Linked DNA regions of Rhinolophus ferrumequinum. The protein of the gene in region 2 purifies or fractionates together with the protein of the main gene of each other region. This does not show direct contact. Links are inferred from orthologs where the notes say so. Each region holds a gene or a part of one and is shown on either strand. Other genes may lie near its edges.

What was found. The genes of interacting proteins can lie anywhere in the genome.
Region 1: the proteins of PER1 (region 2) and CSNK1D purify together in Homo sapiens (affinity purification with mass spectrometry; 4 studies listed by BioGRID and IntAct, counting the BioPlex papers as one, with this or other methods). This does not show direct contact. The link is inferred for Rhinolophus ferrumequinum from reciprocal best matches to the Homo sapiens genes PER1 and CSNK1D.

The regions. Positions count from the first base shown.
Region 1 is NC_046304.1:54,975,863-54,986,489, forward strand, and holds the start of CSNK1D (casein kinase I), read right to left. Parts: upstream 4,631-10,627; 5' UTR 4,313-4,630; coding exon 4,237-4,312; intron 1-4,236. UniProt on the Homo sapiens protein: Essential serine/threonine-protein kinase that regulates diverse cellular growth and survival processes including Wnt signaling, DNA repair and circadian rhythms. It can phosphorylate a large number of proteins.
Region 2 is NC_046304.1:10,831,652-10,841,557, reverse strand, and holds the start of PER1 (period circadian protein homolog 1), read right to left. Parts: upstream 4,725-9,906; 5' UTR 4,587-4,724; intron 1,460-4,586; exon of another isoform or gene 766-1,459; intron 1-765. Other genes in the region: VAMP2 (vesicle-associated membrane protein 2), read right to left, coding at 8,090-8,106, 8,698-8,749, 8,846-9,004, 9,485-9,605. UniProt on the Homo sapiens protein: Transcriptional repressor which forms a core component of the circadian clock.

The sequences.
Region 1 (10,627 bases), about 44 Mb from region 2:
CCTTCGAGAAGGCGGGGGACATCTCGGCTGCAGCCCACTGTGGCTGATAAAGCTAACACAGAACAGTTACCCCTGCAAAACTCACAGTCTGCGGGGCAAGTGACCACAGACAACTCCGGAGCACAACACGAAATCCTTCCTTCTGCGGTTAGTGTGGGGCCAGCCTGCCCCCAGGATGACACACACGAAGGTCACCCTGAGTCTGACGACTCCAGATGGCGCTGGACCTGGGCTCTGCCACACGAACACGAGAGCAGCACACTGGGCTGCTTCGTCTGGGAGGCCTCGCCCACTGGGCACACGGACTGAGCAGCCTCAGGTTCTGTGCGTTCAGGGGCCACTGAGCAAACCTGAGGCTCACCAGTCTGCAGCCCCGCAGCCCTGTCCCACTCCCACTGCTGACAGTGGCCCCGCGGTCCACAGACAGTGTTGCTCTTGGTCCCCAAACTGCCACCAGTCCAGGAGGGGACACACACAGGACAGCGAGGAAGCACCAAGGAGCTCTGAGAGCAACGTGACACTGCTGCGACACGTCCATCTTATTTTGCAAAAGGATTCGTCTGCGACAAATTGGGACTTACAGCACCTGGTGCTTCAGCACAGTAACCTTTACAAGTACTGGGAAATGGGGAACGAGGATTTAAAAGGTATCAGCTGAGCTCTGGTTCCGGATTCAGAACCAGTCAAAACCAAGGGGCACGTAAGCATTTCTTCAGTGTCTGTTTACACTAAGGTGTTCCATCTCCCCAACAACCTCAACTTGTGAGCAGCTCGGAGCCCCAGGCAGACAGGAGTTCCCTCCAGAGGCAGGTGGGAGCCCATTTCAGATAGAAGTCAGTGCTGGTCCTAGGAAAACAAACTATGTTTTCAATTGACAGACAAGGCAGATGGTAAAGCCACTGACCCTAACCCCAAGCCTGACCCTGGGACAGGGAGGGAACTCCCACTGAGGAGTGACAACCACAAAGAAACAGGGAAAGGCCTCACAGCAGCAGGGCAAAGGCCACCTTCAGGACAACTGTTGACAGGGCAGCTGACCAGTGTCATGACCTCTCAGCTTAAGCCACCACCCTAAAGAACGCAGGCAGGTGACCAGACTGCAGTGAGTGTAGGTGATTGCTTTCCCCTCCTGATCAGCCAGCTGGCCAGCCAGCCAGCACTTTGAAACCCCTACTGTGTGTCCGACACCCCGCTGGGTGCCACTGAAGAGCAATGACAGTTGGCGAGGGGAAACCATGACAATCAGGTATGAAGGGGTTTCTAAGCTTTAGCTCCCAGAAAAGGGGAATGTGCACATTATGAAGAAAGACCACGGTCTACCCCGGGGACAGGCAGACAGGCAAGGCTGTCGTCTGATAAACTGAAGGAGCGTCAGGATCAAGTACAAATGCCAACAGCTGGCAGGAAGAAAACCTCCATTCTGAGCAATCAGGAATGAGGGGGTCCAAAGACCCAGCCGACAGACACAGACGAGAATAGAGCTCCGTGAGAACGGGGGGGGGGGGGGGGGGGGGGAGGCGCACACTGCCCCTCAGACCTCAGCTCCTCACAGGCACCCCTTGAACCTGGCTGCACTTCAGAATAGCCCCTACGCTGACCACGGCACTGCCACACAGCCTGGGCTCCCGCACACCCCAGCTTCCTAGTCACACTGGGGTTTGGAACACGGGTCCACGTTAAGAACACTGGCTCTCCCTTGGTTTTTGAACATTATCAAACGTATGAGACGCACACTGCCACCAAAGCGAAACGACTTCGGGGACCCACTGCCTTTTGCAAGACACCTCACCTCCAGCCACCAGGGGCTAAAGCTTGCGGGAAGCTCAAGCTGAGGGAGGCCGGAGAGTGAGAAGCTTCGCCTCACGCCCACCTGCAATTCCTTCTGCCTAAGTGTGTGCTGCACGCATGCACACAGGACGTGAGCACTGAGGCCTCCCCATCCAGCCCTGCCCAGGAGCCTTCAGGACCGGTCAAGCTTAGGGGGAGGCAGACTGAGGTTCAAGACTATACGTTTTGGGGTCCACGGTGGCCCCAGTCCAAGTACTTTCTGAAGCCCATGCATGGGAGAATCAGACCCGAGATACTGCCCCCCTTTGAAGGGGCAATTTGGGGAACGATTGGAGTGACCTGGCAGGGCCCAGTGCTGCATGCCCGAGTCAGCCTGCAGGACACCAGGAGACAGGCCAGCACTGGGCCTTCCTGATCCACGAGGCGCGCAGCAAGCTGGAGGCCAGCCTTCCCTCCACGAACATACCGATTCCCACGAGGAGGACTCAATTCCTTAAGTGATGCCTAATTAGAGGCCTAAACAAACAGGAAAAAACTACAGTACAAATAACGCAATCCATCCCCTGCTCTTTGGACCTGTCATCTTTGACCCTTAACTACAGTACACAGTGAGCTGCCTCAGACCCACCTTTTCCAGCCACATCTCAAACTAGCAAGGTCACTTCACATTTTCAGTGGGTAACTTGCAGCCTGAAAGGACCCCCATGTGGGCCAAGAGCCAATGCTGAGGGAAGACGCCTGGTTATGCTCCGTCCCATACAATACCTCCACGTGCACCCCGACGGTGGGCTGTGTGGGTGCTCAGGAGGGCGTGAGAGCCACCGTCCATCCATCTTAGAGCACAGGGACAGAGACCGAGGACAGACCCCTCGGGCCCGGTCAACTGGACCTGTAGCAGGTGCGCCCACATGGCTGAGGCCCAAAGGACGCCGTGGTGAACGGGCAGGTGGGTCCCCACCGAGCTCCCACTCCCGATGAGACAGTTTACATCGTGTGACTGACCTGGTGACAACTGGTCCACAATGCAATCGTCCAAACCCAGCTTCGGAAAGCACAGAGCTGTCTGGGAAGTCTGACCAGAGGACAAAAAATTTCAAGGCATCTACTTTCTGATGCCTGTGCAAGGGTGACTAACGGACTGGCTTTTCAGCACAGCTCCTAGATCGTAAGTTAAAACTTTTGCCAAAATCTATTGTTCTATAAATAAGGCAAACAGCTTGCACTTACCCGGCCCAAAACGCTGCTGAGAACGCATTCGGCTGACTACTGCATATAAATATTTAAATAGAAGAATCCCAGTGTCTCCAAAGTGTATTTTACTCAGCAGGACAGTAGGCACAAATGTGGCATGTGACGGGGGTACTCTGCAGGGCACCGAGGCACCAGAAGCAGTGATGAACTTCCCCAGCGCACGTGTGGGCCCCTCTGAAGGCCCTGCGTCCTCTCCAGGTGACAAGACAGAAGGACGTGCGTGCGGTGAGCGCACACACCTGGGCTCAGGTGCAGGCACCACCAGAAATACCGACAAGGGAAGTACTCCCGACCCTCCCTGACAGGCACAGCGACCAGAGGGAAACAGCAGAGCGGGCTGCCCACCGCGGGGCCTGTGAATCCCCAACGTGCCAGGGTGGTCCCTCTGCACACCGGTCGCGGTCGCGAGCCGGGCTGGACGGTCCCAATCCGGGGGTGGGGGCATAACTGACGGGCGATTCCCGAGAAACGCAGACACCTTCTTTCTAAACGTCCAACTGTGGGATTCGAGCCTCCTCTTATTCCACACGTGCACGTGCGCGTCCTTTCGAGGGAAACCTAAGCCAACCCAGAACATTCGAACACTAACACGGCTCTCAAATCTATATTGACAATTTCACAGCCCAAGGGACAAGCGCGGAGGGACAGCGGGTCGCGTCCGCGCGGACCGGGTCTCCAGCCCCGTCAACGTCTCCTCTTTAACCGGCGCCCAGTCGGGGCTCGGATGCGCAACACGTCCGCGGCACCGCTCGCCCGGCCGACGCCCGCCGGGGCCGCTCAGCCGGGGCTGCCTGGTCGCGAAGGGCACCGAGGGGCGCGGGAGCCTCGCCCGGCCGGTCCCGCCCGCCCCGCCCCGCCCAGCCCACCGCACGCGCGCAGGACGCGGGGGCCGCACACCGCCCGACGGCGTTTGTCCGTCTGCGGGTCACCGGCGCCGACGCCGGGCAGCGGGGGCAGCGGGGGCCTCGGGCCGCGGCCCGGCCACTGCCCGGTGGCGGCGCCGGGCGCACGTTGGGGCAGGTGCCCTCGGGCCGGGCGGCGCGGGCCGCGGCTCGGGAAGGCCACAGGGTCCCCTGGAAGCCGCGGGGTCCCGACAGGAGCGGGTCCCGGGGCGGGGCCGGGGTCAGCGGCCGGGGGCGGGGTCCCGGGCGGGCGCCGGGCTGGGGGCGGCCCCGGCCCGGGGGAGGGGCGCCTCACCAAGGTAGATGTCTCCGAAGGAGCCGCTGCCGATCTTCCGGCCCAGCCGGTACCTGTTCCCGACTCTGAGCTCCATGGCGGCGGCGGCGGGCCCGGCTCGCTCCTACCCTCCCGGCCGCTTCCTGGGTCTGAGCTCGGGGAGGCGGCGCCGCTGCTGCCGCTACTGCGGGTCCGGCTGCCGGCTCCGCCCCCCTCACGGCCCCGCTTTCACCATCGCTTTCCGGCCGCCCCGCCGTTCCCAGCGCCTCAATAAGGGGCGGATGGGACAGTCCGAGCGCCGCCGCCCCTGCTCCGGCCCCCTCCGGCCCCGCTCGCCCTCTCCCCGTCGCGGATGGACTCGGATATTCCGGGCCTAAATCCCCCTTCAGCTGCCTGAAGGAGCCGCCGCCATCGCGCTGTGACGTCACTTCCCTTAGCAACCCGGCGGGCGGGGCCGCGCTGCCGGGGGCGGGGCTGCGCTGCCCAGGGGGCGGGGCGAGCGGGCTCCGGCGTCCTTGCGAACCACCGACGCCGGGGCCAGCCCCTTATTCTCTGTGGCCCGAAGTCCCCGTCGCAGGTCTGCAGCTCCCACCCGGCCGCTTCCCGTGTGCAGCCTCCACGTTTGCCCCCGCGGGTGTCTGGGAAGCCAGCGGCTCCTGGCGACAGACCCGGGACAGGCCCGCAGGCAGCGCCCTCGCACTCAAAAGGAGGAGGGCCTTCCGCCCTGGGTCGGCGCCGGGAGGGAGTGACACTGGCCGGGTCACAGGGGACAGAGGTGTGCACGGCCCTTTTGGCAGCTCGGGACTTAGCTACTGTGCAGTCCAGGGCTTGCAGCACGGCCTGCCACTGCCCCTGACGTCCCGTCCTACACACTCAAACCTAGGGCGGAAGGACGGAGAGACACGTCCTCGGGTCTGGCGTCAGGCCTGAAGGGTGAAGGTGAAGGTGAAGCTACCAGGGCTTCAAAGGGTGAGGCCCGGACAGTCCGCCTCTCCAGGCCCATCCGCCTGGAGACTTAGTCAGCATTGTTATCTAATCTGTGTGCGGTCTGAAAGTTCTTCCTTGCAAAAGAAAGCTGGAACGTTGAAGTTCAGGCTGATCTGGACTCCACTCCAGTCACTGGGAAGGGAGTCTGGGAAAGGCCGCCAAATTGAGAAGAAAGGGCTTCCATATGGACACGTCTCTAGGCCTATCCTCAACCCCGGCTAAAGTGGCAACGGTGAAACAGGCTGTTAACATATATGTTTGGACATCTAGCAAACACACTCCCGTGTGCACAGAGGTGTGGGCTAGAGTAGCCGGAGCAGATGGTCAGAACCAGGCCCTTCCTGTGGCACAGGCAGCCTCAGGAGAGCAGCCTTTGTCGGAAAATGTTTGGAGGTCCGGTTGGTGAGGCCGGCATCAATTCCTGAGCAATCAGTCCGTGGTGGACTGGTGGGCAATCGGGAATGGCTCCGTCCCTGCCCAGTGGTTGCCCAGTTTTTCAGTCTTAGGGCTGGGGGTGGGTTTTGACAAACTAGTAAAATAGCCATGGTGGCAGAACTGATGATGGGCAGTGCCTGCTTCACCCACCGGAGAAAGCCACAAGTGCAAACTGGAACCAGAAAGGGGCCTGGAGCCCGCTCCCTGGACATAATGGACCACTCCCTGAGCTGCCCCGGCTGATTGATGGCCTGCAGTCCCCTCCTGGGGCCTCAGTGTCCTGTCTCAGAAAGAAGTGGCAGCTCTTTGGACCACCCCAGGCCCCAGGTTTCTGCCTGCTTCACCTGTTTATTCACAAACTTGGTCAGGATAATCAGCCAACACGTAATCAGTAACATGAGCTCTCCAGAACATCTTGTGACTCCCCATGACTTCAACAAGAAGTTAAACTACATTGTCTGATCAGAGCTCGTCCCCAATGACAGGTCTCACTGCCTCCCAGCCTACTGTCCACAGGCTGCTGTCCACAGCATGGCTATAAAGATGGTTCTAGAGCTCACATCCCATGCAAGCCCTGCCTGCTTAAAACCGACCCAAGTCGAACCTTCGTACTCCTGGAGGGAATGTAAAACAATGCAGCCACTTTGGAAGCCAGTGTGGGGTTCCTCAAGAGATAAAGGCAGAGTTACCATGTGACCCAGAAGCTCCACTCCCAGGTCGGTACCCAAGAGAACTGAAGATATCTGTCCACAGAGAAATGTATGCACAAATGTTCAGAGCAGCGTTGTTTTATTTATCACATGTAAGCAACTTTTTACAGCCCATATATCCATAATGAATGAATGGATAAACCCTATGTAGTTTATCCTATGTGGAGTAATTATCACACAACCATGTAAAGAAAGAAGCTCTGACACCTGCTACAATGTGGATGGACCCTGAAACACTGAAGAAGCCGGGTTCAAGGGGCAACATGCTGTATGATTCTGTTTACATGAAGTGTCCAGAACGGACAAATCCACAGACCAGGAAGCGGATTAGGGCTGGGGAGCGGGCTGGGGGGAGACTGCTGGTGGGCCTGGGGATCCTCTTTGGGGAGGACCAGCGCATTTCAGAACTAGGGAGCAGACAAGTATACAACATCATGAATGGACACAAAGCCACTGACCTGTACACTTTCAAACAGTTAAAATGGTGAATTTTATGTTAATTTTATCTGAATTGAAAAAAAAGCATGGGTCAGCCTCTGGGGACTGAACCCAGCTTCCGTGCTAAGATTTTGGAGGGTCCTCACCATCCCACAGGAATGATAACAGTTCCCTGAATGCGTCAATGTCTCTGCTCAGGGCCCCTGCAAATGCTGCACCTGTAATGTGTTTCCCCCTCTCCTCCCACAGACACACACACCTTTGTTCAGCTAACTTCCCGGTCTTCCCAGCCCCATGGTTGCTACAATGGAGACAGCCCAGCCTGGACTGAACAGGAGGGGAGGAGCCACTACCTTTAAAGGCAGTGACTGAGAGTCTGGGCTGGGGTGGAGGTCAGGTGCCCAAGTTTCAGTTCCCGCTCTGCCTCCAGCTCTGCACCCTTGTGCTGGTAACTCAACCTCTCTGTGCCTCTGTGCTCTCATCTGTGAAATAGGAATAACATCATCGAACCCTAGAGCTGTGGAGAAGGGTGAGAGGGTTACCACGGGCACAGTTCAGAACAGGGCCTGGAAACAACTGCTGTATAAATATTAGCTGTTTATATAACTACTGTTTACTTGGAAAAGGAGCCGTCACGCAGGCAGCAGCAGTGATGTTTGCCACCAGAGCAGCTGATGGTGCCGACTGGACAGTGGCTTCCTACTAAGACCCCCCGGCGAGGCAGGACCTGTGCCCACTCCTCACCCGCAGGCCGATGCCGATGCCCGACGGGACCAGCACTAACGATTATCCCCATTTAATGAACACCTGCCCACGGAGTTCCGGCCTAGGGAAGCCAACCATCACAAAGGGAATAGTGATTGCCAACTGGGCCAGGACTATGGAGGACCAGACGGGTTGCAGGCCACACCACACGCGGGAACCAGGCTGTAGTTCGCAGCTTCCAGCAGCTTCCATAGGGAGGTGACCGTCCCTGAGATCTGAAGGAGGAATTACCTTGGTCTGGGGGAGGGGGCTCACAGGGAGGGCGCGCAGAGGCTCACAAGCAACTTCCCAGCAGCAGCCAGAGCACAGGCAAGGCTGACAGAGGCCTTTCGGGGACAGAGTCCCAAGGAGCAGTTTCCAGGCTCTCGGCCTCACGTGGAAAGGTGCTGGCTCAGGTAGTAGATGGCCGTCCGCTGTGGCTGGGTGGCCATCAGCTGTTACCGGTTAGCCCTTAGCCACTGATATAAGTGCCGGGGCTGCGTTGGGGGGTTGGGGGGTTGGCAGAGAAGCGGATGGCGGGTTGTGGATCGTGTGGCTCCTGCTTCCTGTGTCTCCAACCCAGCCGCCAGCGAGACTATAGTGGTGTGAACCCCCATCCATGGCTCCGTGGGTGTTCCTTTTTGGCCTCACCATGTCCTGTGTTCTTCTGTGGGGAGTGGGAGCTGAGACCCCGCATGACAGGCCTCATGAAGGGGGGTGTCAGGGTTGGCTAGGATTCTAGCGCTGACAAGTGTTTGCTCTAGAGGCAGCCACTAGCCACACATGGCTATTAAATTAATTAAAATGAACTAAAAGTAAAAATCCAGTTCCTCAGCCTTGGTAGCCATGGTCCAAATGCTCAGTGGCACGGGGATCGGACAGCACAGCTCAGAGCATTTCCATCGTCCCCAGAAAGCTCGCTTGGGCCGCTGGGACCAGGGCTCTCAGCTGGGGTGGGGGTGGGGCGACATGTGGCAGTGTCCCATTGTCACAATCGGGGGATTGCTGGCACATCAGACCTGGAGGTCAGGGATGCAGTGCACAGGGTGGAGACCCCGCCCTAGAACGAGCCCAGTGCCTGATTGCTGCTCTGCCCACTGGATGGAGGCCTCGCTGAGCCTGACTCTGGGTCGAGTGACCCAGCCCTGGTCAACCCCAAGCATGTTCTGTCAGGAGGCCTCTGGAGGGGCGTCCTGGCGCTGATGCAGGAGTTGAGGGTTCCGGGGTCAAGTCAGGGCAAGTTTGGGATGCTCTCCAATGGGGCTCACCCACAGGCCTGGGAGTGGGGGGCGGGCAGTGCTGTGCAGGCCAGCACTGTGATGGGGTTAGGAGGTGCGGCCTTTGGCAGTGGCGATGGCATTAGTGCCCTTATAAGAAGAGGCCTGAGAGCGAGCCCCCTGCCACACGAGGACAGTCAGGAAGCGGCCCTCCCAACACACACCAGGGCTGCTGGCTCCGTGATCTTGGATTTCATTTCCAGGACCTTGAAAGATAAATGGCTGTTACTGCAGTCACCCAGTCTATGGTATTTTGTTATAGCAACCTGGAGTATTTACCCAACTGAGTTATAAACCTGCACCCACACAAAAACCTTCCTGAGAATATTTATGGCAGGTTAGTTCATAATTGCCCCAAACTGGATGTAACCAAGATATCCTTCAGTAGATGAATGGATAAACCAACCGAAACATTCAGACATCTGGCTATTATTCAGCACTAAAGCAGTCAACTATCAAGCCACAAAAGGCACAGATGAATTAAGTGCATATTGCTAAGTGAAGGAAGCCAGCATGTAACGGCTACATGTGTATGATTCCCTTTACATGCTAAACTGGACCAAGCAAAACTGTGGAGGCAGTGAGGAGAGCAGTGGTGCTGGGGTGTAGGGGGGTGTTTGGGCCGGGAGACGCTGTGTGGGGCTGCAATGCTGGACTCATGAAACTACATATTTGTTAAAATCCACAGACTGTACAGCAGAAAGAATGAGCCTTCATGGATTTAATCATGCAAATTATAAAGAATAAATAAATCAAATAAATGCAAATGTAAAAGTATTACTTGGGAACTGGGGGTCTGAGGCTGGAATGACAAAAGAACATGAAAGCTACTCCCTGAGCGGAGAGTGGGTGCTAACCCAGGTCACGCTGGAAGGGAGTGGGGTCTGTGACACTGAAAGCAAAGGGAACCCCCCCATAGACCTACCCAGGTTGGTGACGTTTCCCACGGGGTACGCACTAATGATTGTGACACCACGGACGTGAACACTGGAACTGAACCACTGAATACACGGGTAGTGGGTTTCTCACTGTTGGAGTGGGAGTTTACAGGTGAGCAAAGGAAAAAGGCTGGAATGATCCATGAGGTAACAGGTTAGAGGCATCAGTAGCAACTCATGCTTAATATGGCCACTCATGAAAAATTGTAGACACACGTGTGTGTGTACAGCTGAGAAGCAGCGGCTCAAAGTAGAAACAAGCACACCCAGCACCATCTCTCGTTTGGTCACTCACACCAGTCTCCAAGGAACCAGGGCTACCTGGGGAAATGGTGGATTTGAGGACAGGGCAGAGAATTTAAACAACTTCATAGGTGGAGCCCTAACCTCAATGTGACTGTGTTTGGAGATGGGGGTGCCTTTAAGGAAGTAATTAAGGTTAAATGAGGTCATAAGGGTGGGGCCCTGATCCTAGGGAACTGGTGTCCTTAGGAGACATCAGGAGTGAGCGTAGAGGACAGGCCGTATGAGGACACAGGGAGGAGGCGCTGTCTACAGGCCATTGAGAGAGGCATACTGGTCGGTGCCTTGACCTTGGACGTCCAGCCTCCAGAACTTTGAGGAGTAAATGTCCATTGTTTAAGCCACCCAGTCCGTGATGCTTTGCTGTGGCATCCCTGGCTGATTCACACAGCAAGAAAGTAAAGACGTGCTCAAAAACTCTACCAAACAACAATCTGCAACTAGGGCTCCCCCGGTGGCTCAAGCTGCAACAATTGGAACAAAAGAAATAAGTGTTGGATTAAAACACAAAGTATAAAAATAGACATCCATAGGTCCAAACTGACGCAGAAACGATGGATGAATAAAAGGGGAGAAGAGG
Region 2 (9,906 bases):
GCCCGCCTGGATCCCAGTCATTCTGGTCAAGACCACACACAGCCTTTCCTTCTCCAGCCCCCACACCCTCTCCCGACTCTCAGAACTGAAGCCGGCACCTGCCATTGTCAGGAACCCAGGAATCCTCTCTCCTCAGTCCTCTACTTTTCCAGACAACCCCACCCCACCCCCATCCGAAGCAGATACACTCAGCTGAGCCAGAGATACACAATAGCCTGCGCATAGTTAGTTCATCCCCTACTCCGTGTCCAACCACACCCCCAACCCCCGAGCATTTTTCTGAGCGCCAGGAGAAAAGGAAAGGCTGTGGCCAACAGCAGGAACTAGCGCCGGGAACGGGATGTTCCAGCCCGAACCGGGCTGACATCACGGCCGGCGTCGGGCCAGGGATTGGAAGGGGAGCGCCGGGAGCGCGGAGAGCCTGGTGGGGTCCCGGTACCGGAGCAAAAGCGGGGACCCCCCCCGAGTGACAAGAAAGGCGGCAGGGGGCATGACTGCTGAAGGTCGGGTGTGAGGCCAGGAGAGCTGGGAACAGAAAGCAAAGTGGGAGGTAAGGTAAGCGGGTCAGGAATGCAGACACCGGGTGCAGGGTTGCAAGGAACACCTGGGCCCCGGCGGGCAGAGAGGGAATGGACAGCCGCGAGGAAAAAGAATTATTGGTGTGCCGTCTGAGCGCCCGGGCCGAAAGCGGCACCTAAGGTTAGAAGTGGGGCTGTCCGGCTCGGGGCCGGTGACCGGTCTCCGGGTGGCCACGGAGACGCCTACCTGTCAGCGCGAGGGCCCTCCGGCCGCCTGCCTGTCGCTGTTGCAGCCTGCAAAGGAGTGGAAGCTCCGCAGGGACAGGAGGCGAGTTGCATAATGCCAGGCACTGCCCCTCATTGGCCTCCCGCCGGCGGAGCCACAGGCCCCGCCCCCGATTGGCTGGGGATCTCGTCCTGGCGCCTGATTGGCTACTGGCCCCCACTGAGGTCAGGGCTGTGTCACACACACGGGTGCACGTGGATCTGGGTGCTGGCACTGAGCTGAAGGGCCCCAGACACCACCGCCCAGCCAATGGGCGCAGGACGCCTTGTACAGTAAATACTGAAAGGGAGGGGAGGGGAAAAAAGGGGAGGTAAGCTGCCCTTCTTCCGGGAAAATGCCCGGGCCACAGTAGGTGCCTAAGAGATGTCTACTTCCTGAACTGACCAGCCTTGCAGAACAGGACACCTTGGCCTTCCTAGGGGTGGGGCAAAAAAATGCAGACCGTGAAAGATGAACCAAGCTGGATAATAATGGCTAGTCCTTGGGAGGAGGGGGACAGACAGAAAACTGGCCTGGCCTTTACTGGGTTCTCTGCCTCAAACTTGTCATCATAATAAAGCCCTTTTACCCGGCCCCTTCCTCTGTCACTTCAAATCCTGTTAACAGCTAGAAGGAGGGCAATTGAGGGCCTACGTGTGATGGAGTTGGGGGGAGGAGACAAACAATAGAAGGGACAGTAATGAGCCAGTGGGGGCTGTGAAGGGAAACAAGCAGGTGCTTCTGTGTTCAATCAGAGAAAAGGTCTCCGGGCAGGGGGGTGGGTGGGTGGTGGTGACTAGTGCTCCTCTCCAAAGGATGCAGCCACCCAGTTAAGGCTACCCCCAAAGTCGGAGGTGGGGGCTAAGGAACCAGGGCTACAGGGGAACAAAGGGGGTGGCTGAGAGAAAAGACCAACTGGGACCCTAGACAGAGAAAGGTGGGATGGCAAGGGCTTCAGATACCCACCACTAGGAAAAGAGAAACCCAAGGACATCATCTGTCTCCTTCACTATTCCCCAGCCCCCAGGACAGAACCTGACACATGGTAGGTGATTAATAAAAACGGTGATTTTCGTCCTTAACAAGGATAGATAGGGGAGAGAAAGGGGCTTCAGCAATGGAGAAGGGGCCGGAAATTATAGCCTTTTTTAAAAAAGGAGGAGCAGAATATTGAGTCCTAAAAAAAGAACAGGGGCCTGATATGGGGGACAAAATGCTAGGCTGGGCCCAGGGGAGCTGCAGTTACACAGACTTCTCCATCCAGGGCTGTGATGAGCAGTTCCTTCCAGGGCACCCTGGAGATGTGGGTGGCAAGTGAAGAGGCCCCCAAGCTCATGCTGACATAATCTGCTGTGGGTGCACTCCCTTCATTGTCACGTGGCCTATGCTTTCCTTAACAATGGTGTTTCCCGGTGGAGGGCCAGGGAGAAGGCTCTATGGAAAAGCTGGGGGTGGGTGGGGTTGTAAAATAACCTAGAAAAACCAAAGCAAGAAAACAGGAAACAAAGGATTCAGGAGCCCGGATTTTCAGTCTCCTCTCCCTGAAAATATACCCCCAACTCACATACTGTGGTCCCGTCCCTTGTCTCATTTTCAGACACCTCTTCTCTGGAAACATCATTTTTGTTCCTCCCCTGCTCTCCTCAGGGATTTAGATGTGATCTCCCCGGACACAGGCAGTCCTTGCTCTCCCACCTCCACCGCCTTATTTATTTCTTGCATGGACAAAAGGGCCCAGCGCTCCAGCAGCCCTCACCCGCTCCCAGGGCTCTGGTTGTCCTGCCTCACCGTCCCCACAGTAACCAGGCCCTGCTGCCGTCAATGGAGGAGAGGGGGCGGGAGACAGCGGTGACGTCAAAGCGCAGGAAGGGGGCGGGGCGAAGCCGCCGGGGAATGTGGGGCAGGGAGGTTGGAGAGACAGCGGTTTGGGAGGTGGCCAGCCTAAGAGGGCGGCAGCCAGCGCACTTAGGAACATCATGTTCTCTTGGCCGGTGGCCCAGGACATGCACCCAGGCTGGGCGCCACCCCCAACCCAACGACAGCCGTCCTGTCTCAACGCCAGGGATTCCTGGAGAGAGGATTAGAAGGGGTCCCCCTCCCCCGCCCTATGCCTGACTCTCTTCTCCAGACTCGCATCCGCCCTCCCCTCGGCTTGTTTCTACAGCTCCTGGCAATGGCTTTTCCCCTCTCCCAAATTGTACACATTTGCTGGCCCGATCCCAAAGAGACAGGGCGGGGAAGTTGGAGGCCCAGGTTCTGTAAGAGAACACGCACCTTTGCTCCTTTAGAGAGGCCCCCTTCAGAGCCTGAATCTCTTGTTACTATGGCAGCAGAGAGAGGGAGGAGGAGTAGGGAGAATGGTCTAGGATGAAGAAATCATACCGGGACAGAGCAAATGGCCCAGGCTGGGGCCTGGATCCTGGGGAGAGGGATAAAAGGGTGGAATGAGGGTTTGGGGATGGTGCCGGAAGACCAGAACCAGGAAAAAGGAAATGGGGAGGGAGTCACCAAAACTTGGCAGAAAAACCGGAGAATGTGAGAATAGTTCCCAACCAAAGCATTCACATAAATCTCTTGCCCTATCACTGTTGTTCTGTCATCCTACAGGCATTTTTTAGCTAAATAATTTTTAAAACATGACCCAGGCATTGTGCTAAGTAATTTATATACATTCTCTTATTTAACCACCAGAACAACCCTGTGAGATGGGTATTATTATCCCCATTCTACAAGGACTAAGGCTGATAAATTACTACACTTCACTAAATTGTCTTATAATACGTTCTCAGGCTCTTAAACAAATAGAACCCAGGGTTCAAATCTGAGCTTTTATGATGGGTTGTCATTCTGGCTTTTTAGCCTTCTGGAACCTGTGAGGTGTTACCCAGCACTGGGGAACCTCTACCTCTCAAATATCTAGCTGATTCTGAGTTTGGTACCTGGAACAGACTCCATCTCATCCCTCCTTTCCTTTGCGATATTCAGTGTGTACTCCCCACACACTTTGAATCATCATAGCCCCAGCTTTCACATGCTTTCGAAATCTTTGAGATCATCCTAGCAGCTACCAGCCCTAGGAACTCCACTTCTTCACTCTCCCACCCTACACCAGGTCCGTTTACCACCTGCCTGGGTGTTTGAGCACCCTGTTGGTTCCTCCTCACCTCCAGGGGCTCAGGAAGACATGTGCACAGCCAATCTGCACAACCCCAGCCTCCCTCTAAGGATCCAACACTTTTACTCCCAAGGATGGCTCCGAGGCCCAACCCCTCCGCTTTACACGTAAGACTTCCAGAGCCGTGATGTAACTGGCTCAGAGTCACACAAATCACTACATCAAACCTTTGGAATCCTCCCAACCTGTCCTACCAGTGCGTCCCTCCAGCCTCAGAACCCGTGCCTCTTTCAAGTGCTTAAGGCACATACCCAAACAACAGTTACGCACTGGAACGTCTTTCACCCGCTCTCCGGGTCTCCGTTCCAGTACCTCCTTGGTAGCTGGGGTCTCAGATCCCTCAGGTCGCTGAGGTCTTCCAAGCCCCTCCCCCCAGGCAGTCAGGAGTCCAGGTACCCCAGGGCGGTGAGGGATCTGATGTCAGTGGCTTCCGCCCCAGTCCCTATAGAGCTGAGTTCTCGGTCCCTATACTCCTCAACTATTAGGGCTCCCACCGATGGGATCACGCAGTCGCAGGATTCCACCCCTCAACACACACACACTCCATTAACACTCTTACAGACAGAACACACCACCGGAAAAACTCACACGGACCCCTGCTCCCCTCCCTCCAGCCCGGAGTACTCACCGCTCGGCTAGCATGCAGAACAGTCTCTTCTCAACTACGACCACAGAGACTTGGACTCGCTTCCTCCAGGAGCCTGCCCACCGACTGGGATGCCACGCCCCTCAAGCTTATTGGCCTAAGGGCGCCGATCCATGCCCCGCGCCGCGTGCGGCCGCCGGGCCGCAGCAGAGCCACCATTGGCGCCACCCGCCGCCGCCATCATCTCATTGGTCAAGATTGCCAACCGGCAGTGACAGACACACGTGAGGGAGGGGCTGTCCGGGCGCGTTATTGAAAGACTGACAGGAAGCCACGCCCCCATCCACTTCCAAAGTTCAGATTGGCTGTGGCAACATACCGAATGGCCTAGATCGGTGACTCAAACGCCAACCCAGCCCTCCGAACTTTCTCATAGGCTGAGGTCTCAGAGCTGTACAGGACACGTGCCGGCGGTCTCACGCGGCAACTTGTTTACCTAGAAGCTGGGGATTTTCCTTGACGACACTCCTACCCAAGGCTGCGGACTCTGCGCAGGCGCAGCGAATGTCACCTACAAGCATGCGCAGATGTCAGCAGCGGTGGCTTTGGTAGGGGTTTATGCTGAGACCCGGGTGAGCCCTACGGGAGTGACGAGAGCGCCTCCAGCCCTGGAAATTCTATCCTGGGTTCCTGAAGCTCCCCCAGGTTAGAAGGTGCATCCGGGTGAAGTGGTCTTCGGATCTCAGTGCCGCGTGAGGGTGAAGATGAAGATAATAGCAGGCTCCTATGAGTTTTTGTGGGCCAGGCCAGGCTCTTCTCACAGACATGGAGGCCCGCTCACTTACTACCCACTGCCTCACAAATGAGAGTGAGATCCAGAAAGGTTACATAATCCGTCTGGATTAACACACTAGTCAGTAATGGGGCCAACCCAGGTTCTAAGGCCTAGGAGAACCCTAAACCTGGAAAGTATTCAGTAGATGAAATGAGAAAGAGCTCTGAGCACTGACTGGAATACATTATAGTAAACCTCCAATAAATAGTGGACATTATAACTGTGTACCTAATTATAAGAATCATCTCTGCGAAATCAGACTCTCCAAGGAAGGGGCCTGAAAATCTAATTTTAAATGCATTTTTGGTAGTTCTTAGGAGCCCACAAGTTTGGGAAACACTGTCTAGGTTGCTTATACTCTTGAATCTTAATGCTGTAGCCCAGAGAAGTGTGTCCTCCAGAGCTCTCCTAGCACACTCATTGTTGAAGCACCTGGGGACAGGAATGCTAGGGTGCCACATCGGGGGCATGATGTATATATCATGGACTAGAGTTACCAGCAGGACAACAGAGTGCAGGGGTAGCAGGCCATCTATAGCCAGCTCCATACCACACTCAGCTGGGTCTTCCTGGGCCAATTTGTTCAGTAAGTATTTATTAACCCCTCCTGGACACAGCTGGCACTGTGTCGGGCACAAAGGGGAAGAGATGTTTCACAAAAGTTGGCCATTTACTTCAGGCAAAAGAATAAATGACCACAGGAGCGACTGCACAGAGTATGGGAGTTAAATCAAGGGGTAAAAGGGATCCAACAAACAGCAATAACATGCTTCCAGGCAAAGGAGAAGGGAGGGAAAACTGGGAAGCCTACACCTCAGGGTTCACCAGGGTGAGACATAGGTATCAGCTACATTTCCATTAACTACTCTTGGTGGGCCCCCCCCACGTGGCCACTTTGGGAATCACACTTCATCCATCCTGCCCAAGGTCAGGCCCTCTCCAGCAAAAGCTCAGTCCCTTCCCAATGTATCTCCTCAACCTTCCTGTTAAATCTGCAGACCCAATACTCTTCCCACTGGTTAAGAAAAGATCTTAGGACAGACACCACTTAGTTACTCATTACACATTTATTGTACATTTTCACAATCTGGATGCGCCACAGAATTGGGGGCATGGGGTGAGGGAAGGGGGGCAGGGGACACTGGGATAATATGGGGGGGTCTAGAGCACAACACCCCCACCCCCAGCATCTCTCCCTACCCTTTCACACCACAGCTTAGATCTCCCTGTTCCCCCTCCACAGACACCTTGAGTGTGGGGGAAAGAGTTTGGGGGGGGTCCCCTCTAGTGACAGTTTAAGGGACTGCACCCTTAAACCCCTAAAATTGTGCCATTTAAAAAGACATTAGACCCTTCCTCTATCACTTCACCTAAGGAGGAGACAGCTCTCTCTCTGGGCTGGACCACCATGGAGAGGGGCAAGAACCCCCATCTTTCAGCAAGTCCCGCACACACATTGGCAGTGACTAGTACCCACGCTCTGAATTCAGCGAGGGCAGTCAGAGGAGCTGGGCAGTGAAGGAGGCAACACCCCCCAAACTGAGGAGGGTTTTCAGTCCAACCCCCAGCAGGGGTGGGGCCAGAGGAGACTTCAGGCAGGAATTGGGGAGATTCTCTGCCCTGCTCCACTCCTCTCCAAGGCAGTGATGACCCCTCACACACTGGCAGCCACCTCCCAAAAGATATCAGATTATGGCCAACCCCCAACTCTCCTGGTGGGAGGAGGAGGGGCAGATCAGTCAGATGGGAGGGAGACCCCATGGGAATGTCAGTTGAGTGCCCCACATGAAAACTGGGGATCAGGAATGTGGGGAGAAACTCTAAGTGGCAGAATTATTGGTCCATCATAACACACTGAACTCCAAGACACTTATACACCAGCTGGAGGGAGGGAGAGGAGGGGACAAGAGGCTTGGAAAATGGGGGTAGGGGAGGCAAACTAGACTAGCGGGGCTAGGAGGGGATGATTCTGGGGGCCAGAGCAGCCTGGTTCCCCAAAAGCCCAGGCTCCCCACCACCTACAAGTAATGTCATGCAAATGAAAGTGTGACCAATGGGGACTAACTCCTCAGTAAAAAAAAAACAAAACAAAACAAAACAAAAAACAGACGGGTTGAAAAAACAAAGAGTGATGGAACAAAAAAGAAGGAAACCAAAAGGGATGTCAGTGTGCAAATGAATGCTAGTTAACATGCTGGAAACTCCCAGACCTTGGGATTCATAGGACCAAGTGGGGCCAGTCTCAGAGCCTCCCAAATGATGCACAGACGATGCACCTAGGGAGGCCTGGACAATTGCTTTTTGTCTTGTTTGTAGGGGGGGTGCGGGTATGGGGAAGGCCAGGGTGGAAGGAAGGGTCAGCTAAGTCCAAGGAAAGAAGGGAGGAAGAGGGACTATTGCATAGCAGATGCAAATGAAGGGACTTGGGGCTGGTAAGGAAAAGAGGGAACGGGAAGGAGGGAAAGAGGAAGGACGGGAACCTCAGGAAGGGGTGTTAAGGACAACCGGAAAAATCTTCTAGTAATAAAACTACAAACAGACCAAATATATATAATATTATATATGTATAAATAACAGCTGGCTATTTACAGGGGGGCACACACACAGACACACACGGATGGGGGGCTGGAAGATATGGCTGAGAGGTGGAGGAGCAGCTGGGAATGGGGGGGAGAGGCCCTTCTCTGGGCAGGGCAGGCTCCTCGGGGGTTTAAGAGCTGAAGTAAACTGTAGAGCGGGAAAGAAGGATGAAGGGGGAGAGGGGAGAAAGAGAGAGAAAGCAGTGTGTCAGGCCTGGCCCTGCTCCCATCCTCCCCACTCCCCAGCTGACTGACATCCCTTCCCCTCTGGGCCTTGGGTTCTCCCCTGTAAAGCAAAGGGGTTGGACAGGAGGTTCCAAGGTCTCTTCAACCCCATGGTATGGCCTTAGGGCCACAGACCCCAAATCCTCTGGGCCTCTGAGACCACAAGCTCTTAAATAATTCGGTGGTTGGCTTCCTAGTCATATATCAAGCCTATGGGCCTTTCCTGTTCTCCCACTCCCCAATTTCAGGGTTCTCAGGCCCAAAGAGTCCTCAAGGGAGTAGTGGGGATCCACTAGCTCTCGTTTCCAAAAATCGAAACAGAATTGCCCAGAACCAGGCAAAATGCAGGCTGAACAAAATCAAGGTGTGGAGCTCTAGATGAATCAGAACTGCCACTGGCAGCTATATATGCTTTTTGATGAATAGTAAAAACTAGGTTAATGACCTTCAGAACCCCGAACTCATAGGGAAACCTCTCCAAAGAAAGGGCCCCAGCCATTCCTGCCCTACTCACCGATGATGATGATGAGGATGATGGCGCAAATCACTCCCAAGATGATCATCATCTGTGGGTGACAGGAGAGGGGTCAGGGGACCGACCACAAACTCCCCATTCACCCACCAGTCCTCCTATCTGCCCTCCCACGTGCCTCCACCATTACCTTGAGGTTTTTCCACCAGTATTTGCGCTTGAGCTTGGCTGCACTTGTTTCAAACTGGGAGGCCCCCGCCTGGAGTGCATCTGCACGGTCGTCCAGTTCTGACAGTTTCTGGTCCCGCTCCAGGACCTTGTCCACGTTCACCCTCATGATGTCCACCACCTGGAGGAGGGGTCCACGAGGCAGGGGGTATGCCAAGGCCCGCCTCAATGAGGGCACTCCTCGACCACCATGCCCACATATGGAACATGCACCCCGATGTCGCCAGGCTAACATGCCAAGGACACACACAGAACAAGCCTAGCACACCTGGGGACATGCAAGAAGTACACATCAGGGGCATGCTGATAGCCAGACATCTCAGATGTCATAGCAGCACCCTCTATTTATCCAGTTTCAAGTAGCCTGCCCGTCACCAGAGCACACCTGCCCAGGCTGAAACACCCTAGGACTAGCAAGCTAACACTCCAAGGCCCTTACAAGTGCATGCTTACAGGGATGGGGCATGGTATGTCTTTGTCCCAAACCTCATAAACGTGAACTACCATCACCCCCAGCCCAAGATGGACCCCCCAACACTGGTTTGCCAACCCTCAGTGCCCTTCCCACCGTCTTTGGATCCCCCCAGCCCACTCCACTCACCTCATCCACCTGGGCCTGGGTCTGCTGCAGTCTTCTATTACTGGTGAGGTTTGGAGGGGGCCCAGGAGGGCCTCCCTCCCCAGCCGGGGCGGCAGGGGGGGCGGTGGCAGCGGTAGCCGACCTGAGGGGCAGGGACGGATTCAGACCCAGGGCCTGGAGCCTTCGGCCCCGCAGCCAGGACTCCGCCCATCCGCCTGTCCATCCAACCGTCCCTCCCTTCCTCCTTTTCGAGAGGGAAGCCAGCCGATGGGAGCCCTGGATTCCGTCTGGCCCCGCCGCCGAAGAGCTGCATGACCTTGAGTGGGGCCCCTTCCCCCCTCCAGGCCTCAGTTTCCCCGCCTGTCAAATGAGGGCGACCTCACAGACTTGGTCCAGGGTCGACCCGAAATGACCGGCGGCAGCGATGACAGGGGCGGGGCGGG